Linked DNA regions of Macaca fascicularis. The protein of the gene in region 3 binds, or shares a complex with, the protein of the main gene of each other region. Links are inferred from orthologs where the notes say so. Each region holds a gene or a part of one and is shown on either strand. Other genes may lie near its edges. The genes, in order: SMC5, NSMCE1, NSMCE3 and NSMCE2.

The links.
Region 1: NSMCE3 (region 3) and SMC5 share a complex: the UniProt entries of both Homo sapiens proteins name them as parts of the SMC5-SMC6 complex. The link is inferred for Macaca fascicularis from reciprocal best matches to the Homo sapiens genes NSMCE3 and SMC5.
Region 2: the proteins of NSMCE3 (region 3) and NSMCE1 are in contact, whole or in part, in a crystal structure (PDB 7DG2), measured with the Xenopus laevis proteins. The link is inferred for Macaca fascicularis from reciprocal best matches to the Homo sapiens genes NSMCE3 and NSMCE1. Residues at the interface, in XP_018121157.1 of Xenopus laevis: Gly57, Glu58, Val60, Gln61, Tyr62, Leu64, Ile65, Lys66, Gln68, Lys69, Val82, Thr100, Gln102, Gln103, Val104, Phe105, Gly106, Phe107, Asn123, Leu125, Gln126, Arg127, Val128, Gly130, Asp131, Gly132, Met133, Arg134, Asp136, Glu137; in NP_001083134.1 of Xenopus laevis: Ile5, Glu7, Gln10, Arg11, Leu13, Gln14, Ala15, Met17, Ser18, His19, Leu30, His33, Leu37, His38, Leu54, His57, Leu58, Pro60, Leu61, Phe62, Met63, Val84, Asn86, Ile88, Thr89, Met91, Ala92, Ser93, Asp94, Gln149.
Region 4: NSMCE3 (region 3) and NSMCE2 share a complex: the UniProt entries of both Homo sapiens proteins name them as parts of the SMC5-SMC6 complex. The link is inferred for Macaca fascicularis from reciprocal best matches to the Homo sapiens genes NSMCE3 and NSMCE2.

Annotation. Positions count from the first base shown.
Region 1 is NC_088389.1:100,952,905-100,957,402, reverse strand, and holds the start of SMC5 (structural maintenance of chromosomes protein 5), read right to left. Parts: upstream 2,966-4,498; 5' UTR 2,863-2,965; coding exon 2,678-2,862; intron 1-2,677. UniProt on the Homo sapiens protein: Core component of the SMC5-SMC6 complex, a complex involved in repair of DNA double-strand breaks by homologous recombination.
Region 2 is NC_088394.1:26,306,241-26,310,175, forward strand, and holds the end of NSMCE1 (non-structural maintenance of chromosomes element 1 homolog), read right to left. Parts: intron 2,645-3,935; coding exon 2,528-2,644; intron 1,650-2,527; coding exon 1,529-1,649; intron 1,044-1,528; coding exon 964-1,043; 3' UTR 802-963; downstream 1-801. UniProt on the Homo sapiens protein: RING-type zinc finger-containing E3 ubiquitin ligase that assembles with melanoma antigen protein (MAGE) to catalyze the direct transfer of ubiquitin from E2 ubiquitin-conjugating enzyme to a specific substrate.
Region 3 is NC_088381.1:8,206,973-8,210,894, reverse strand, and holds NSMCE3 (non-structural maintenance of chromosomes element 3 homolog), read right to left. Parts: upstream 2,350-3,922; 5' UTR 2,236-2,349; coding exon 1,336-2,235; 3' UTR 686-1,335; downstream 1-685. UniProt on the Homo sapiens protein: Component of the SMC5-SMC6 complex, a complex involved in repair of DNA double-strand breaks by homologous recombination. The complex may promote sister chromatid homologous recombination by recruiting the SMC1-SMC3 cohesin complex to double-strand breaks.
Region 4 is NC_088382.1:134,752,490-134,757,143, reverse strand, and holds the start of NSMCE2 (E3 SUMO-protein ligase NSE2), read right to left. Parts: upstream 3,041-4,654; 5' UTR 2,923-3,040; intron 1-2,922. UniProt on the Homo sapiens protein: E3 SUMO-protein ligase component of the SMC5-SMC6 complex, a complex involved in DNA double-strand break repair by homologous recombination. Is not be required for the stability of the complex.

The DNA.
Region 1 (4,498 bases), on a different chromosome or scaffold from region 3:
TGCTTCCACTGCTTCATTAAAAGGTCAAAGATTCCTCAATTGCTAAATACAGTGGGCTCTTTTCAACCCCGCTATCTGACTTCAATGTAGCAGGTGATATTTTTGAAACATTGTTTTTCCTTGGCTTCTCTGATAATTGCCTCCCATTGTTTTCATCTTACCTCCCTGAATAGTTCCTTCTGGCTTTGAGTCCTTCCTCCTTTCACCCTTAAAAGCAGGCATTCTCCCAAGACCCTGTACATGGTCTTCTAGTCCTTCAATTTATAATTCCTATTGAGCAATCATAACCAGTTCTGCAACTTCATCAATCACCTGTATGCATGACTCCCAAATCTCTCATCCGTTCATACTTTCCTCTAAGCTCCAGACTCTTATATTCTGCCTATAGAACATCTCTCTTAGATACTCCAAAGGAAACTTCAAATCACAGGATCTAAGAGGCATTTATTATTCTCCTCAAACTGCTCTCTCTTCTGAATAGCATCTGACCAATTAGCTAAGGCAAACACCTGGGAAAAATGCTGCATTCCTCCCTTTCCCCCATGCCTCAATTATTCTGTAGCTGGATCCTGCCAAATCTCATTCCTTCACACTCTGATCATCTCTTGCCTTCGTATTGTCTTTTTGCTTCCAATCTTGCACCCTTTCTAAATCATCCTCCGCAGTGCTTCCAGAATAACATAAAACACATGTCATTCCCTGTTGAAAACACACCGTGGCTGCCTACAGGATGCTGCTGGAACTTCTTAGCATAGTAAACATACAGGTCTCTCAATGGTTGCTTACCCTGTCCAAATACTCACTCACATCCTATACTCTTGCCTTACTAAAACACTTGACACTTTCTAAATATACCAAACTATTTCAGACCGTTCCTTCTGTCTTCAATGCTCTTCACTTCTTTTAAGACTTTCCTATCTTCTCAGGCGGGTGCAGTGGCTCACGCCTGTAATCCCAGCACTTTGGGAGGCCGAGGTGAGTTGCTTGAGCCCAGAAGTTCGAGACTTGCCTGGGCAACATGGTGACACCCCATCTCTACAAAAAATTTTTAAAACATTAGCCAGGTATGGTATGCGCCTATAGTCCCAGCTACCTGAAAGGCTGAGGTAGGAGGATCACTTGAGAAGGGGAGGTACAGGCTTCACTGAGCCCTGATCATGCCACTGAGCTCCAGCGTGGGCAACAGAGCAAGAACAAAGACTTTCATATCTTCTCTACAAAGCCCTTTCTCATACTCGTGGACAAAACTAACCACTTCATCCTTTGTGAAGGATCCTGATATATATGTTGTTATGGTATCTAACTCATTTGATTACATTTATCTTTCCTGATCTGGATTCAAATAGCAATGCAACTACTTAACAGCTGTGTAAAACTGGGCAAAACAACCTACTGAGCTTCTTTCAGCAATGGAAATTATCAAGATAGAGTTGTTATGAAGAAAGAATGAGTGCACTGTGTACCTGGCACACAACAGGTGCCTGAAAACAAAAAAGGTAGTATTGTTAAAATACAATTCTGTTATCCTTATGCCACTATGTGCAAGTTTAAAAAAGACTTCAGGGCGGACACGGTGGCTCACGCCTATAATCCCAGCACCATGGGGGCGTGCAGATCCCCTGAAGTCAAAAGTTCCAGATCAGCCTGGTCAGCATGGTGAAACCCCGTGTCTACTAAAAATACAACAACAACAACAAAAAAATTGCTGGGCGTGGTGGGGGGTGCCTGTAATCCCAGCTACTCGGTGAGGCAGGAGAATCGCTTGAAACTGGGAGGCGGAGGTTGCAGTGGGCCGAGATTGCGCCACTATCCTCCAGCCCGGACGACAGTATGAGATTCCGTCTCAAAAACAAAAATTAGCCGGGCGTGGTGGCGCGCACCTACAGTCCCAGCTACTCGGGAGGCTGACCCAGGAGCCTGAAACCGAGAGGCAGAAGTTGCAGCGGGCCGAGGTAGCGCCACAGCACTCCATCCACCGTGGGCGACAAGAGCGAAACTCCGTCTCAAAAAAAAAAAAAAAGACGACTTGGAACAGATTCACTGTGAGGTGCTAGACAAATACATGATATATTTAAAACTTACTAAATTCTAAAGTGATAACTAGTTGTCTGAAGGAGAGAGGGAGGAACCAGGGAAGAAAGCTGGGTTTAGAGGGGTCAAGGGTCAAGATCCAACAATTGCCAGGAAGGTTTAATTTTTTTGTACTTGTAACCTCCCATCCCAAACAACCTTTACCGTCTTATCTACTCCTCTGTGGCAAATGCCTACCCTAAGAATCTGCCACAGCATCCCCACCACGCCGAATTAACTGTTGCCTCCTCGTAAATTCCCGGGGACAATACTTCTGTGAATTACAGACCAGGGCCGCTATGGATCGCGACTCCCAGCGGGCAGAGACCTACTCCCTCGTACAACTACTACCTGCTACAAGACGCTTTTGGAAAACCTTGGCGGACTAAATTTAAAAACCACATCACGTAAGGCACACATCTACATCATACACGTCAATCTCCACAGCCTTCGTAGAAAAATCCTCATGGGAACCCCGGCACGAATTCAAGGCCAGACCCACAAGCCAGGTACACACCCACACGCCCACGCCCGCGCGCAGCCGGCGCCCCGGGGCCTGCTGGACCGCACGCCTCCACACCCGCGGCGCGGCCTCCCGGCCACTCACAGGAAGTTCTCCATCGAGATACGGACGATAGAGCCCTCCACGAAAGGCCCGGACGACTGCACCAGCGGCAGCTGCGGGGCCGGATTCTTCCTCTTGCTCGGGACCTCCGACGAAGGGTCTCTCGGGAGAGCTCTCTTGGAAGCCTGGGGGCTTGGAGTTGACGTCTTCTTGCTTGGAGTCGCCATCCTGGCTTTCTCAGCGCCCCACAGCGACTTCCGTTCCCACCGTCCGGCAGCCCAGGCGCCCAAGCGCCCCAGCGCCCGGCTCCCGCGCGAACTGCCGCGAACTGCTCCCGCGCGCTCGCTCCCGCGATCTCGCGCCGCGCCTGCTCAGTTCAGATCCGGAGCGTCAGCGGGCCCACCCAGCGCCTCCTGCTCTCCGCCTCGCAGAACTAGGGCCCGACTAAGGGCGGAGCAGCAGACGGGACTGAGTGGGGACCTCGGGGGACGTGGCAACGGGAGTTTCTTCTCTGTATATTTCAGCATTCAGATCCTTTTTTGTTTTTTTTCCACTCAGGAAAAGATGTCAATTGCATTTAGTATTTTGAAAGCCACTTTATTGCTTCCCGAGCCTCAGTCATGTGTGGTGGGAGGCAGCTGTGGGGGGCACCAGGGGCGTCCAGGGCCGCCAAGGCCAGGGGTACGTTAGGCCCTGCTTGCTCCCACCCCTTCCAGGTGCCCACCTGAGAGCTCCCGGGCACGCCCATCCTTGGCTCTTCGTCCTCTTGGTTTTCTTCCCCGTTGCTTCAAATCAGGTCCCTGTCTCAAAAACCCCGAAAAAGAAATACTCTCAAATAACTCTGCCCGACGCTCCGTGAAGGCATCGTGCTAGGCGTTCTCAAACTCGTGGAACGACTACACTGCACAGGTTATCCTCATTGCTTCTCTGCTCCTTGCTTCCTAATTCTCTGGTTAAACTTCCGCCCCCGAGGTTTCTAGAAATCCCTGAGCTAGAATGCGCAGCCTTCATTAACAGGGTGGTTCTGCTTCCGTCTGCTCACATTCATCTAGTAAGCCCTCGCTTTAAAGAGGAGGCGGCGCACCGAGGCCTGCCTAGATCTTTCCTTCAACTAATAATGAGTGTCTAACCTACAAGAAACTGGAGCCGTGGCAGTTTAGAAGCCTGCCAAGGTTGCATCCCTGGGAACTTATTTTCTGTTGTGGGAGACAGGAAAAGAACAAGTGAATCAACTGAAATTAAAAAATTCCAACTTAAAGCTGTTGGAACTTGAAATTATTCAGAGCCTTGCGAAGAATGTGGCTACGGGGCCTGAGTCCTATGGCGTACAGCTGCAATGTCTGCCTTGTTTTTTCCTGTAAATAATCAGGAAGACCAAACAGAGACAGAGGTAAGACCCCCTCAGATCACTATCCCTCTTCATAGATTAATATAGTTATCCTCCTTGGAATGGAGATATCTATAACTAATCTAGTCGCTGTGTTTTATGCTTTGGTCTTGTATTGAAAATGTACTCCTGCTGAACCTTCTCTGCTTCTGCCTACGTAAATGAAACCTTAACTTCACTTTGGAACATTGACCTTATTTGTTTGGAGTTGGTGTTTCCAGGTGGCTGTCCTCAAGCTTTGCGTTAGAATAAACTCTACTTAATGTTATTTTATAAATTTCACTACTTAAGGTTGACACAACAAATGATTAGGATAATTTCAGACTGTGACAGGTGTTAGGAAGAAAACAAAATGAACCTGATGGGTGGGAGGTACGGAAGGTCTCTTAGAGGTGGTGATGTTTAAGATAAACCCTGAAGGACAAGAGGAAACTGTGGCATCTGAGAAAAGAGCACCCCAGGCAAAAGAATTTTGC
Region 2 (3,935 bases), on a different chromosome or scaffold from region 3:
CGCAGGGAGCGAGGGGCTGACCAGTGCCAAAGGGCGACCGGGTGCTAGCCAGGAAACAAAGCCGGACACCAGAGGGGAGGGTGCGCAGGCCCAGGGCGCTCTGTGCAGAGGCTCCCGAGCTGACGAAGGAAGCACTGCACCCTGAGCAGTGGGTGGGGGGAGGCGGTGACGGACGAGCAGGGGCCTCACCAGGGGCCACAGCCCTGCTGCAGCAGTGGGGGCGTCCAGGGGTCTTCCACAGGGAGCATGGAGGCAGGGTGTGGGCCGGGGCTGGCGCTCAGCCTGAGGCAGCAGCGGCAGGGCCGGAGGGCTACTGGCAGCTGGGCTGGACAGGATCTGGTGACAGTGGGATGCAGGAGGGTCAGGGAGAGGAAGCATTGAGGCTGACTCCCGGTCCCGGCTGGGGCTGCTGGATGGCGGGGCTGCCGGGCACCCACAGGGAACAGAGGGTCCAGGGAGGGAGAGCACGTGTCCCGCCCAAACGCCCAGCCTCAGCCCATTCAGGCCAGTGGCACCTTGGGCCAGGGGAGAGTCCAGACTGGGGAGTTGGGGAGGCCAAGGTTCACACATCCAGGTGTGGGCCAGCCCAATCCTGCTGGGACAGCTGGTCACAGCTGGGACTGGAGGCAAGGCTGCCCTGAGCAAGGACAGTGAGCTGTCCTGAGCCGTTGCTGGGGGCTCTGCTGGTTTCACCTGCTGGAGCCCAAACCCAGGGGTTCTGAGTGATGACCGAACTCCAGGAAAGAAGGCAAGGCCACGACACAGAGCCTCACACACAGGCTCGAGAACACAGACAGGGGCTGCAGCAACTTCCAGGACAGTTTATTCCAAAGCTGTGGACAGTCCACATTAACAAGAAAGAGGTGACTCGCATGGAACCTGAAACACGGACGCCTCTCTTCCAAGAAGGGCTGCGGCGATCAGGCCACCCAAGGCAGCCAGTCCCTCAGCAGAGCACGACGGCTAATGCTGCCTGGACCGCAGGGACTTTTTGTTCGATTTTGAGATACCAGCCTCCCTCTGCTTCTCAGGGTCGAAGACTTCTGTAGGCAGAAAAGGCAGGAAAGACAGTGAACGGAGGGGCTGGCAGCACAGGAGCACCAGCTCGAGCCAGCAGCTACGTCTCCTGTGCCAAGGACTCTGTCCTAGGTCTACACCATTCTTCACTGCCAACCCTCCCCAGCCCGTGAGGCAGAGTTAGCCCCAATTCAGAGAGGAACACACTGAGGGAGCTGCGGACATGGCTGTCACATCCCCCTCCTGAGAGGGCTGCCAGAGAGGGAGCCTTGTCTAGACAAAATGCTCATAAGCGTTGGAATTTCTGCTGGGTTCTAGAAAGTCCTCTGGAACGGTGCACGCAGCTCAGCCTTTACTTCCTGCGGTGGCTGCTTCTAGGATTCAGGCTGCTAATGCGGACCCCCACGCACCCTGGAGCCTTTCAGGGCCCTGCCTCCAAGGGCTTCCCCAGCACCAGGCCCTGCATCCTGCTGGCCCAGCCCTTCCCATGAGCACCTCAGGGCCCACGCACCTGGGATCTCGTGGGGCCAGTAGTCGTTGCAGTGGGGGCAGCGCGGTTCGGCGTTTGACTGGAAGTACTTGGCCACGCAGGGTAAGTGCATCCTGATCCCACAGGTTTCGCAGCTTTGACCCTGAAACAAGAAAGGCCAATGACGGCAGAGCTGGTGCACACCTCTGTGTTCTGCAAACCTCCGGGGAAGCCACAAGGAAAATGGGCAGCTGGTGGCATCGGGTTATCTTCCAGTCCCCAGATTAATACTGAAAATCCCAAACGCCTTAGTGCAGGGGAGTCTTTTGTTTGCTTGTTTGTTGCAGTGGGTTTTACCAAACAATTCTGAACACATGAACGCAGTGACAGAAGCCGAGGGCTGGCAAGCTCCCGCACTCAGATCCTGCAGGTGGCATGTGGACAGCCACAGCTTTTCAGAAGCTTATTTGCTGATGTGGATCAAAAGCTTTCAAAAAAAAATTGCACTTTGTCCCAGAAACCCCGCCCAAGGAAATAATCACCATGTGCCCAAGGATACAGGTGTACGAGGCCCATGAGAGCAATTGCAATTACAAACAGCTACAGCTGCAAAACGACAGAAACTGAAAGACACATCAGTGTCCACGCTGGTTCAGTGGTTGCAAAGCCCTGCAAACTGGAGTAGACCACTGCGGAAAGCAGCAATTGATAGAGACACTCCGCCAAATACTCTGCCACAAAACTGCCAAAATAATGCAGGTTGCACAGAACACTCAACCTTCCTGAGAAGAATAAAGTAAGCGAGAGCCCTTGGACCCCAGCAGCAGAACCAGGGAGGAGAGAGGCAGTGCGTCCCTGCAGGCCACCGTGGGGAGGCATCCTCTGACACGTCCTGGGAGATGGCCTCCAGGAGCTCTTGTGGGAGGAGGCGCCGGCAGTGCAGGAGGGCTGGGTCCAGAGCCAGGATTCGGGAAGTACCTGTGCAGAGCCCCAGGAGCTGAGGGCCCGGCAATGAGCTCCCATGCCCTGCCCAGCGGGTACCTGGATGAGGAGGCTGTGACAGATATTACAGATCTTCACCGCGTCGGGGTACGTCTCCCGGATGTATTGCTCCATTTCCAGGATGGCCCGGCCATGCAGGGTGAACTCCCCTTCCTTCTGCAGGGACACACGGGAGGTGGCCACCCTCAGCCAGGCCCTCTCCCCATTCACTACCTCTGTTCCCTCTGTGATCCCACAGCCCTGTGCTCAGGAAGACACAAGGGTCTAGGCACCTTTGCACCAACCCCAGACAACGGGCATCAGCCACGTCCCCCTGGCAGAGCCTCAGCAAGGGAAACTGAGGCAAAGGCCCAAAAGGCATGGAGGCACAGCTCCCCGACACCGCCCTTTTCTCAGCACCTGTTGTGCCTTCAGACGTGACTGCTCTGTCTGCACAGCAGCCCCGAGCGAGGAAGTCACAGCCCTCCTGCAGATGAGGACGCTGAGGCCCACAAGGGGTCAGTCTCCCCAGGGCACAAACCCGAGCACCCACTGCTTCCATCCGCCACCCATCCCACTCCCAAAAAGCAGCATCCCCGGTGCCTCCCAGCATTTCTGCCTCCAACTGCAGTAGGGACCCTCAGAGATCATTTCCGGCCACATCACTTTACAGACGGAGCTGGAAGGAGTCTGGAGAGGGCAGACGGGCCCCATCACACCAGGGGCAGTGGAGCCTCCAACGGAAGCCAGGCCTCCTGGTTCCCACGCCAGGGTGCGGTCACCCATCATGCATCCTGAACACCCTGGGAGAACCAGGAAGCACATGAAGAACACAGCTCCCCAGGCGGACCCGCCTGCCAGGTCACAGGAGAGAGGCAGCACTGAGGGAGACCCAAGGGAGGCAAATGACACGGACCCAGGACACGGACCCATGCAGGCTGATTCCAGTTTCTCCACAGTCAGCTCATGCATCGGACGTGAACCGCGCCAGGAGATGGCGTCACTGAAGCCTGCGAGTCACTCGAGTGCTCAGCTGCCTTTCCTGTTATTTTCTAATTTTTACAAGCAAGAGCTGTCACTCCCGTTTTTGTTTTTTGGTTTTTTGGTTTTTTTTTTTTTGAGATGGAGTTTTGCTCTTGTTGCCCAGGGTGGAGTGCAATGGCATGATCTTGGCTCAATGCAACTTCCGTGTTCTGGGTTCAAGCAATTCTTCTGCCTCAGCCTCCAGAGTAGCTGGGATTACAGGTGTGTGCCACCACCGGCTAATTTTGTATTTTTAGTAGAGATGGGGTTTTGCCATGTTGACCAGGCTGGTCTTGAACTCCCGACCTCAGGTGATCCACCCACCTTGGTCTTCCAAAGTGCTGGGACTGCAGGCATGAGCCACCGTACCCGGCCCACTCCTGTTTCTGACAGGTAGAGCCCCCCCACCCCATTCCTGCCTCCATCCCCAGAGTGCAGTGTGGAG
Region 3 (3,922 bases):
TACCACCATATCACCATGCTGACAAGTTAGCATGAGCCGTAATTCAAATTCAGTTTGCCAGACAGCCCCAAGACCCACACCTTTTCCCTATACCTAACTCCCTACGAGGTTGATCTTATGTCCTGCTCTCACTGTTCTATGTGGGCTATACTCACCATACACTTTATACTTATTTCCCCATACAATAGAGTCAGACTAGCGGAATATACCTTTTGAACCAGTAATTGCTCTCCTAGGAATCATTTGGAAAACAAGATAAAGAAAAGTTGTATTTAAAAAGTGGCAGCTCCAGACCGAGAATAAAAAATAAAAACATTAAAGAATAACAAGCAAATTCCTCCACATCAGGGACTAAACCCATTTTACAGGTCAAGAAACATCTGCATACAAACTAAGGAACCTACGTAAATTCCTATACTAGTGACGGTGGGGCCAGGATCTGAACCCAGGCAGTCTGATTCCCAAGCAGGCATGGTTAATGGTTACGCTATTGTTTTATAAGCCTTTTTGGTATCCACAGTAGAAATATATTTTACCTCATGATCCTGTACACACACACACAAAAGTAAAACAACTTCTACAAAACAACATTGACCTCAATATGTTGCAAAAACTTTAAGACGCTGATTTCGTCATGAAATTGTCTCATGGCCCACGATTTAAAAAACACACAATGCTTCAGTGCTTCAAAAATACAGTATTTATTGTAATAACTAGAGTAGCATGTAAAAAAAACTAAGTGGAACTGCATGTTTAGCAACACAGCTGAGTAATTATGAATATAAACAATTGCTATTTGGAGAAAATACACCACGTTCATTGCTTGGAACCATGAATAATACTTACATATGTAGGAAATATAGAAAAAATAAAATAGGTTAAGGTAATAAGGATATAGGCAATTACGTTTTTATTTTTAATTTTATAAAGACTTTTATTTTTCCTTACAAACTGGGATGCTTAAGAGACCCGATAATAGCTACTTTTTTATTTTCTTGGCACCAAAGCAACTTACTTATGTGTTCCTTCTGGCATATCTGTTTCAGATCATAGTCAAGTTTTCCAATTCGTTTTACTAAGCTAGGAAAATTTTTTATACCAAAAAAAGTAAAATCAAAGCAAAACAAATGCTCCTTTGTTTATAGATGAAAATCTGGAACCAAATAACACAACATTAAAAGAACAAAACTTTGCAAACACATCCTAAAGCTACACACATTGAAACGCTACAGAAATACGCTTCCTGGGTTCGTTCTCCCTTCCCCCGCTCCTCTGCACTGTGCCTTTGGGTCTCAGACCCTTGTCCCGGGGGTCCCTCTGAATCCACCTCAGATTTCAAGAGGATGGGGCTGAGCCACTGGGCTGAGGTCTGGCCCTGTTCTCCTCATCTGCCAACGCCTCACAGTACTGCGCTGGCCAGTCCTTGGGGTCTTGATTATGGACTTTGGCCACAAACTTAAGAACTTTCATCTTGCTGGTTTCCAGGTTGGTTCGCGGGCCCCACTGGAACTCGTAGTCCACGGGGTCGGTGTGGGGTATCCGCCGGTATTCCAGGTAACGTTGTCGCACAAAGTCCTCGGTAATGAGTTTCTTTGGATCTCCGAAAATGAAATGCTTCTTGGTGGGGTAGACCCCTAAGCGCCGCAGAAAGTCCCAGACTTCAGTCTCCTTGACGGTGTTGCCCTTCATAAAGATGAGCCCCAGGACGATCATCAGGAGGCCCGTAGTGGGCGTGCCTTGGTCACCCCTCACCTCGGCATCCTCCTCCACCGGCTCCAGGGTGTTGATGAGGATGTAAGTGTTGCTCTTGGGTTCAAGTTCCACCAGCTTATAACCGAAGACGTACTGGAGGCGCTCGGCGGCCCGTTTGAGGAGGTCGGGGAAGATGTCCTTGTAGTCCCCGATGACGTGCTTCAGTATGTCGGCCCGCTTGATCGGAATCTTCTTCTGGTCCTTAATCAGTAAGAACTGCACCAGCTCGGACACTTTCAGCTCCTGCTGCTTCTGGGTCCTGGGGCCCACGGCGGGGGAGGCCTGGGACCGGCGGGCGCCCTGCGACCCCTGCGAGCCGCCCGGCCCCCGGGAAGTGCTCGGGGCCTCCTCTGCGAAGCCGTCTCTGCGGGCCCGGGCGTGTTCGCCCGCCCGCGAGGCCCCGGAGTTTCCGCCACGGCTCCAGTCGCTGTCCCTCTCGGCCTGGCCGCCAGAGCGACCCCGGTTCCTCGGTTTTTGCAACATGTCACCGGCGACGCGTACCGGTGCACACTCCGGCAAGCAAGCAGCCGCGGCTGGGATCGCGGGTCGGCGACCCGCTAAGGCCGCTGCCTGGGCGGGGCCCCAGAAGGGGCGCGCAGTGTCGGCTGAGACTGCGTGCCGCGTCATGAAGCCTGCGCCTTGCGTCACGGCGGCTGGGCGGTGCGCCTGCGCGGCTGCGGGGCTGGGGGTACCAAAAGCATCCGAGATTTCTGTGCAGCCCTGCAGGTCTGGTCGGTGAATTTCAGTATAGCGAAGTGTTGTTCTTACTAAACCATGCAAGCAGAGAACGAGAACCGAAACTCCTAAACAAGTGTGTCGCTAAATTCAGGACCAGACAGGCTCAGGCAAGTTTTACAGACGGTATTATGAGTTTCTAATTCTAAATCGGGAGCATTTGTAAATGAAAAGATCTCACAGGATGAATGTGTGAGAAAGAAAAAAAAAAAGGTGAAGAGGAAGGTACGACCGTGGAAGTAAAAGCATTTATTTCTACACAACATGTAGAAGGATATAAAAAACCCAGAGGGCTCTTAGTTTTCGTCCCTCCGCTCAATTTTATACCCTCCAACCCACTGCCCCCAGTTACTTTCTCTAATGCCCCGTGGAGTTTGTTAAAAACAAAAGTCTGCTGCAGGCTTTCCGCGCAAGCAGGACTTCGGTTTCACTATTTCCGTATGTGTATTCTCTGCATTAAACTCCTTTAGCTAGACAACTATGAGAAAACCCCACAAAATTTGTCAATATTAAGTAAATGTTTTAGCTTGGTCAAATGAGTTTATCCTTTGGAAAACAACTGCCTTCAGCTCACAGCCACAATTTTAGCAGAAATGCGTAAGAGGAATGCTGCAAACGTGCACTCTCAAGAGATTACCACTTAATTTTGGGCATCACTGATCAAGAATTGCAATAATGTGGATCTCTTAAATTTCTTAATTCATAATATATTAGCTTTGAGAAAGAAAAGAGAACACAGGGGTATTTATCCCTCATCTATGATGTGTGCAGTCTATGTATATTTTAATTGTGCAACTCAAGTAGCCAAAATGAGTCATTTCATTAACTCAAACCATCAGCAATCTGCTGCCATTACTTCTACAGATCTTAGCAAATTTGTTTCTTCTCTATTTATTGACTTGCAAAGAAGAAACTGAATTTCCCTGTGTCTTTTTAAAGCTACCCAGAAAGTGGATAAACTCTTCAAAGAACCAAATCGAGTTCCTCTTTAATGCAAATATATTCAAAGGAAAGCAATTTAGAACACATTATCTGAATAATAGCATCAAACACAACCTTATTAAAATTTTGTTAAATGTTAGTAGCATAACACATTTGTTTGTAATTCAGTAGGAAAATGCAATCTGATAATGGCACTGGAACTGCTATAGTAAATGTAAAATCATATTCCATGAACTAATGCAAGTATGCTAAAATCTGATACGCAGTGAGTAATAACTTACTGTTCCACACAAGATACAACTATATCCTCAGGCATCAAGCTTAATGACAAAGGCCTACTACGAAAAACAAATATATTATCAAGGTATTCATTTTTTTACAATGAGAAAATTCATCTGCTTCAGTTTCCTTGCAAATTAAAATTTGGACTTAGGTTCATAAAAGCTTCCTGCCATCTAGAATTCTGCAAAAGGTCCCTACCACAGGATGTGGA
Region 4 (4,654 bases), on a different chromosome or scaffold from region 3:
GAAAAGAAAAGAAAATGAAGAGACGGCAGGGACTGTTCTCTCTCTCTCTCTCCCTATCACGTGAAGACACATAAAGAGAGAAGCCATCTACAAGCCAAGAAGAAAGTCCTCACCAGAATTCAACCATGCTGGCAACCTCACCTTGAACTTCTGGCCTCCAGAATTTCTGTTGTTTAAGCCACCCAGTCTATGGTATTTTGTTATGGTAGCTTGAACAAAGACACAATATCTATGAAGATTAATGCAATCCAGTATAAATGGAAAGTATATACCAAACAGTAGTTGTCACTACTTGGTTGAATGCAAAACTCACATTACTTGAGTGAAACTTCACTCTTGCAGAGGACCAAGGAAAACATGACCATGCTTTTCTGTAATTCTGGAGTAGGGAAAAGATTAAGACAGACTGAATTGAAAAGCAAAGACAATGGATGGTGCAGAAAGATGGAATAGACATACTTTTCTCAATTCCTCCCAATAAATACAGCTAAGTACAAGTCAAAGACAACTCCTTTCTCTGACTCTAACAGCATCCTCTTTGATATAATTATAGCCTTTGGCAGTAACTCTACTTTGTTAGTAACTATCTTGCAAGATGTTCGCAGTGCTTCATAAACAGCAAGTGCTCTGAAACTATCAATAAATGAATAAACTGCTTCGGTCAGATGCACAGCTCTCGTGTTTCCTTCTCCCCTTCATACTCAATATTCTTGAACTCACCTCCAGACTTTGTTCAGGCTGGGCGCGGTGGCTCATGCCTATAATCCCAGCACTTTGAAAGGGCAAGGCAGGAAGACTGCTTGAGGCCAGGAGCTCAAGACTAGCCTGGGCAACACAGCGAGACCCCATCTCAAAAAAAAAAAACCAAACAACACAGACATGGTGGCTTGCACCTATTGTCCTAGCCCCTTGGGAGGCCGAGGTGGGAGGACCCCTTGGGTCCAGGAGTCCAAGGCTGCAGTAAGCTATGATCATGCTACTGCACTCTAGCCTGGGCAATAAGAGTGAGACGCTGTCTCCAAAAAGGAAAAAAGGACTTTGTTCATCCTGCTCCCACCATGAGAAAACCATCTCTTCAGTTTTCTTTCTTTTTATTTATTTATTTTTTGAGACAGAGTTTCGCTCTGTCGTCCAAGCTGGAGTGCAGTGGCATGATCTCGGCTCACCTCAACCTCTGCTTCCTGGGTTCAAGGGATTCTCCTGCCTCAGCCTCCTGAGTAGCTGGGATTACAGGTGTGCGCCAGAACACACTGGTTATTTTATTTATTTATTTATTTATTTATTTATTTATTTATTGTATTTTTAGTAGAGACAGGGTTTCGCTATGTTGACCAGGTTAGTCTCAAAACACCCCACCTCAAGTGATCCGCCCTCCTTGGCCTCCCAAAGTGCTGGGATTACAGGTGTGAGCCACCGTACCAGGCTCTTTCTTCAGTTTTCTATCTGCCCACATCTTACCCATATGCTAAAGTCTGAATGTTTGTGTCACCCAAAATTTATATGTTGAAATCCTAACTCCTAAGGTGATGGTATGAGGAGGTGGGGCCTTTTGGGAGGCGATTAGGCCCACTTTCATGAATAAAATTAGTGCCCTTTTAGAAGATGCTCCAGAGAGCTGCTTTGCCATTCCACCGTGTGAGGACACAGCAAGAAGCCACCTATGAACCAGGAAACAGGCCCTTGCGAGACACTAAATCTGCTGGCACCCTGACCTTGGACTTTCCAGCCTCCAGAACTGTGAGAAATAAATTTCCGTTGTTCGTAAACTACCTAGTTTATGGCATTTTGTTATAGAAGCCCACACTGACTAAGACACCATCTCTCATGGCTTGGTTTAAGTGGTTCTCAACCAAGAAAGATTTTACCCCTCTCCCAAGGGACATGTAGCAATATCTGTAGACATTATGGTTGGCATCTAGTGGGCAGAGGCCAGGGATACTCTCAAACGTCCTACAATACACAGGACAGCCCTCACCCCCACCCCACAGGAAAAAATTATCTGGCCTAAAATGTCAATAGCGCATCAGTTGAGAATAACTGATTTAAATCAATCTCTCTTGGATCCCTTCCCATGTAATAACACTGATCTTTTCTTCCCAATACCTATGATCTCCAAGAAAGTTTAGAACAAGTTGTGCATTTCCTGAGTTTTTTCTCTGCATGTTATTTATAGACAATATGCTGACTTCCTTTAAATCCACGGGAACCTTGTACAAGTCAGCCAGAGCTGCCTCTCCTTTTTCAGCATGCAAGGCTATACCCTTCTCTCTGAATCCTTCTCATACAATTGCTTGTTCCCTCCCCCATGCTACCATTATTCCTATCACATGCACATGTACACAACACACTCCCATTATGAAACTCATCACAACTATTTGCTCACATGTCTGCAGCTTCTTTACACTGAAAGCTCCTTAAACTAGAACCCTGACATATTCTATTGCATATAAAGCAGTTCTTCACACAAAATAGGGGACCAATAAAGATTTGGCGAGTTACAAAAATAACAACAGACATCATCATTTCTCGGTCACCTACAGAATGCCATAAACTGGTGTCCTGGCACTTCATTCTCCTTATCGCTAATTCTCACTGCAATCTACATAAGTGAAGAGGAAACTGAGGTCCAGAGAGTTTATTCAAACGACCTTCCCGTGGCCTTACTTTTAAAGTCAGTTCAAACCACATCTATTTGGATCAAAAATTCGTGATCTTGCCCTTACACACTTGTGGCTAACGGATGGAGAGATGGCGCCTCGGACAGGAGGGTAAACTGTCCCAGACTCACTACTGTGGCGTGAAAAGGGCCACAACCATAATCCAGGTCGACGAATTCCCGGCTCGGGGTCCCCGTGGAGTGTCCCTGAGGGAGGCGACAATTCCCGCCACCTTCCCCATTGCCGTCCCCCGCTTCTTCCCTACCTGGTTGTCCGAGTTGTCTCCGTCTGGTGGCACCCCAACTTTCCCTACTTGTACCCACCTCCTTTCCTCAGCCCCCTTCGCCTGTAGCTGAAAAGTGAGCGCGGGCTCTTGCGTCATCATCCGTCGCCGGCGAGTGGTCACATGATGCCCCTCCCTGCTCACCGCCGCTTCGGTCATGTGACCGTCCTGGAAGTCAGGGGCGGAAGCCCGGCTCTGACCCGTTCCAGGTCCGGGACTGGGGATAGAAGAGGACCGCCGCCGTGAGGGAGGGGTGGAACCTGGGTGCCGACTCCGCGCGCAACCTCCTGCCCTGCGCGTGCGCCGCTGGCGCGGCCCGGCTGACAGGTGAGTGGGGATGGGATGAGCGCGCCCCATTTTTGCATGGCCCCTTTCACCTCCCCGCTGGGCCGTGCTGGCCCTGGGGAGGTCTCCAGCGTCGCGTGCAGCCTGGACGGGGGACTCGGGATGGAGGGCTTAGGGGCTTTCTGGGGCGGGGGCTGCAGTCCAGCTCTTCGTCTCCGCTTAGGGGGAACTCATTTTGCACACTCCTTCCTCGCTTTAGGAAGCACCGTTCAGCTGGCTGCTTGGTCCGAATCTCATCCTTCCAAGTTTCCGGGAACACTGCAGTGTGGATGTCGTCGTTATTTCTCTCTTTGCTTTTGAGAAAACTGAAAGGCTAGTAGTGAGGACTTTTACAGCCTGACGGACCTGGATTTGCATTCTAGTTATGCCATGGGCTGTGAGTTTGGGCAAGTCATTGCTGCTCGCTGCGTCTTAATGCCTTCACCTGTGCTAATGCCAAAATCCTTTGCATTTGGCGGGGGGGGGGGGGGGGGGGAAATGTTCCCAAGGCCCTGATTCCTCTATGATCGGACAGGAAAAAGAAAAAAAGTCACAGAGTCGTAGAACTGGGTCTCCTGATTGCAAGCGCATGGAGCTCCCTCAAACATAGGTGAAGGGTAGTGAGGGAGAAGTTTTCCTGTCTTTGCGCACAACAAGGGACACCTTCTCTAATTGTCCTTCACCTGCCTTTCCCAGGATTTCAGGTTAAGCCTCATGTCAGAACTTTTCTGGAAAACATATGCAGCTTGCATTTATTTTGACCGACAACCATTATATTTTGTTTGTGATAATGGATTTGTGGAGATCAGTGCTTCCTTTATGGAACTGAGGTTTTGCGAAAGGCTAAATATAGACCTACCTTCTTTTGTCCTCTGAAGGGGGTAAACAGTGTTTGTCCACGACAATTCGATTTCCTTAAGAAATATTATTCTGCACGCTGGGTAATTGGTATAATGATGCCATGCCTCATTCTTGAAAGCATGTCTTTTGATTAGGATTACTTCCCAAACTGAAAATCACAGTTCCACGCCAAATTCTTAAAAATGAAGTTACTGGCGCTTGTAAAAGAAAATAAGAGAATATAGTGGGATCTCTGGATTTCATGCCGATAGTAATACAGCCTGTATTGAGAGAGCTGATCTTCAAGTTTTCTTAATCCCTAGCACGAAGAGAACCTCTGAAAGGATAATTTACCATAGCTTCTTCTACAGAGTTTAATTGGACCTAATTCTAAAGTGGTTTTTTAAGACTTAACTGAGTCTTAACACCTTGTAAAGCCATCCACATACCTCTTAGCTGCAACTTGATTAGGCATTTTTAATGATGGTTCTTAGATTCTGTTCTTCAGGACTAGTCCTTCAGCCAACGAGGGGGCTATTTAACAATTACT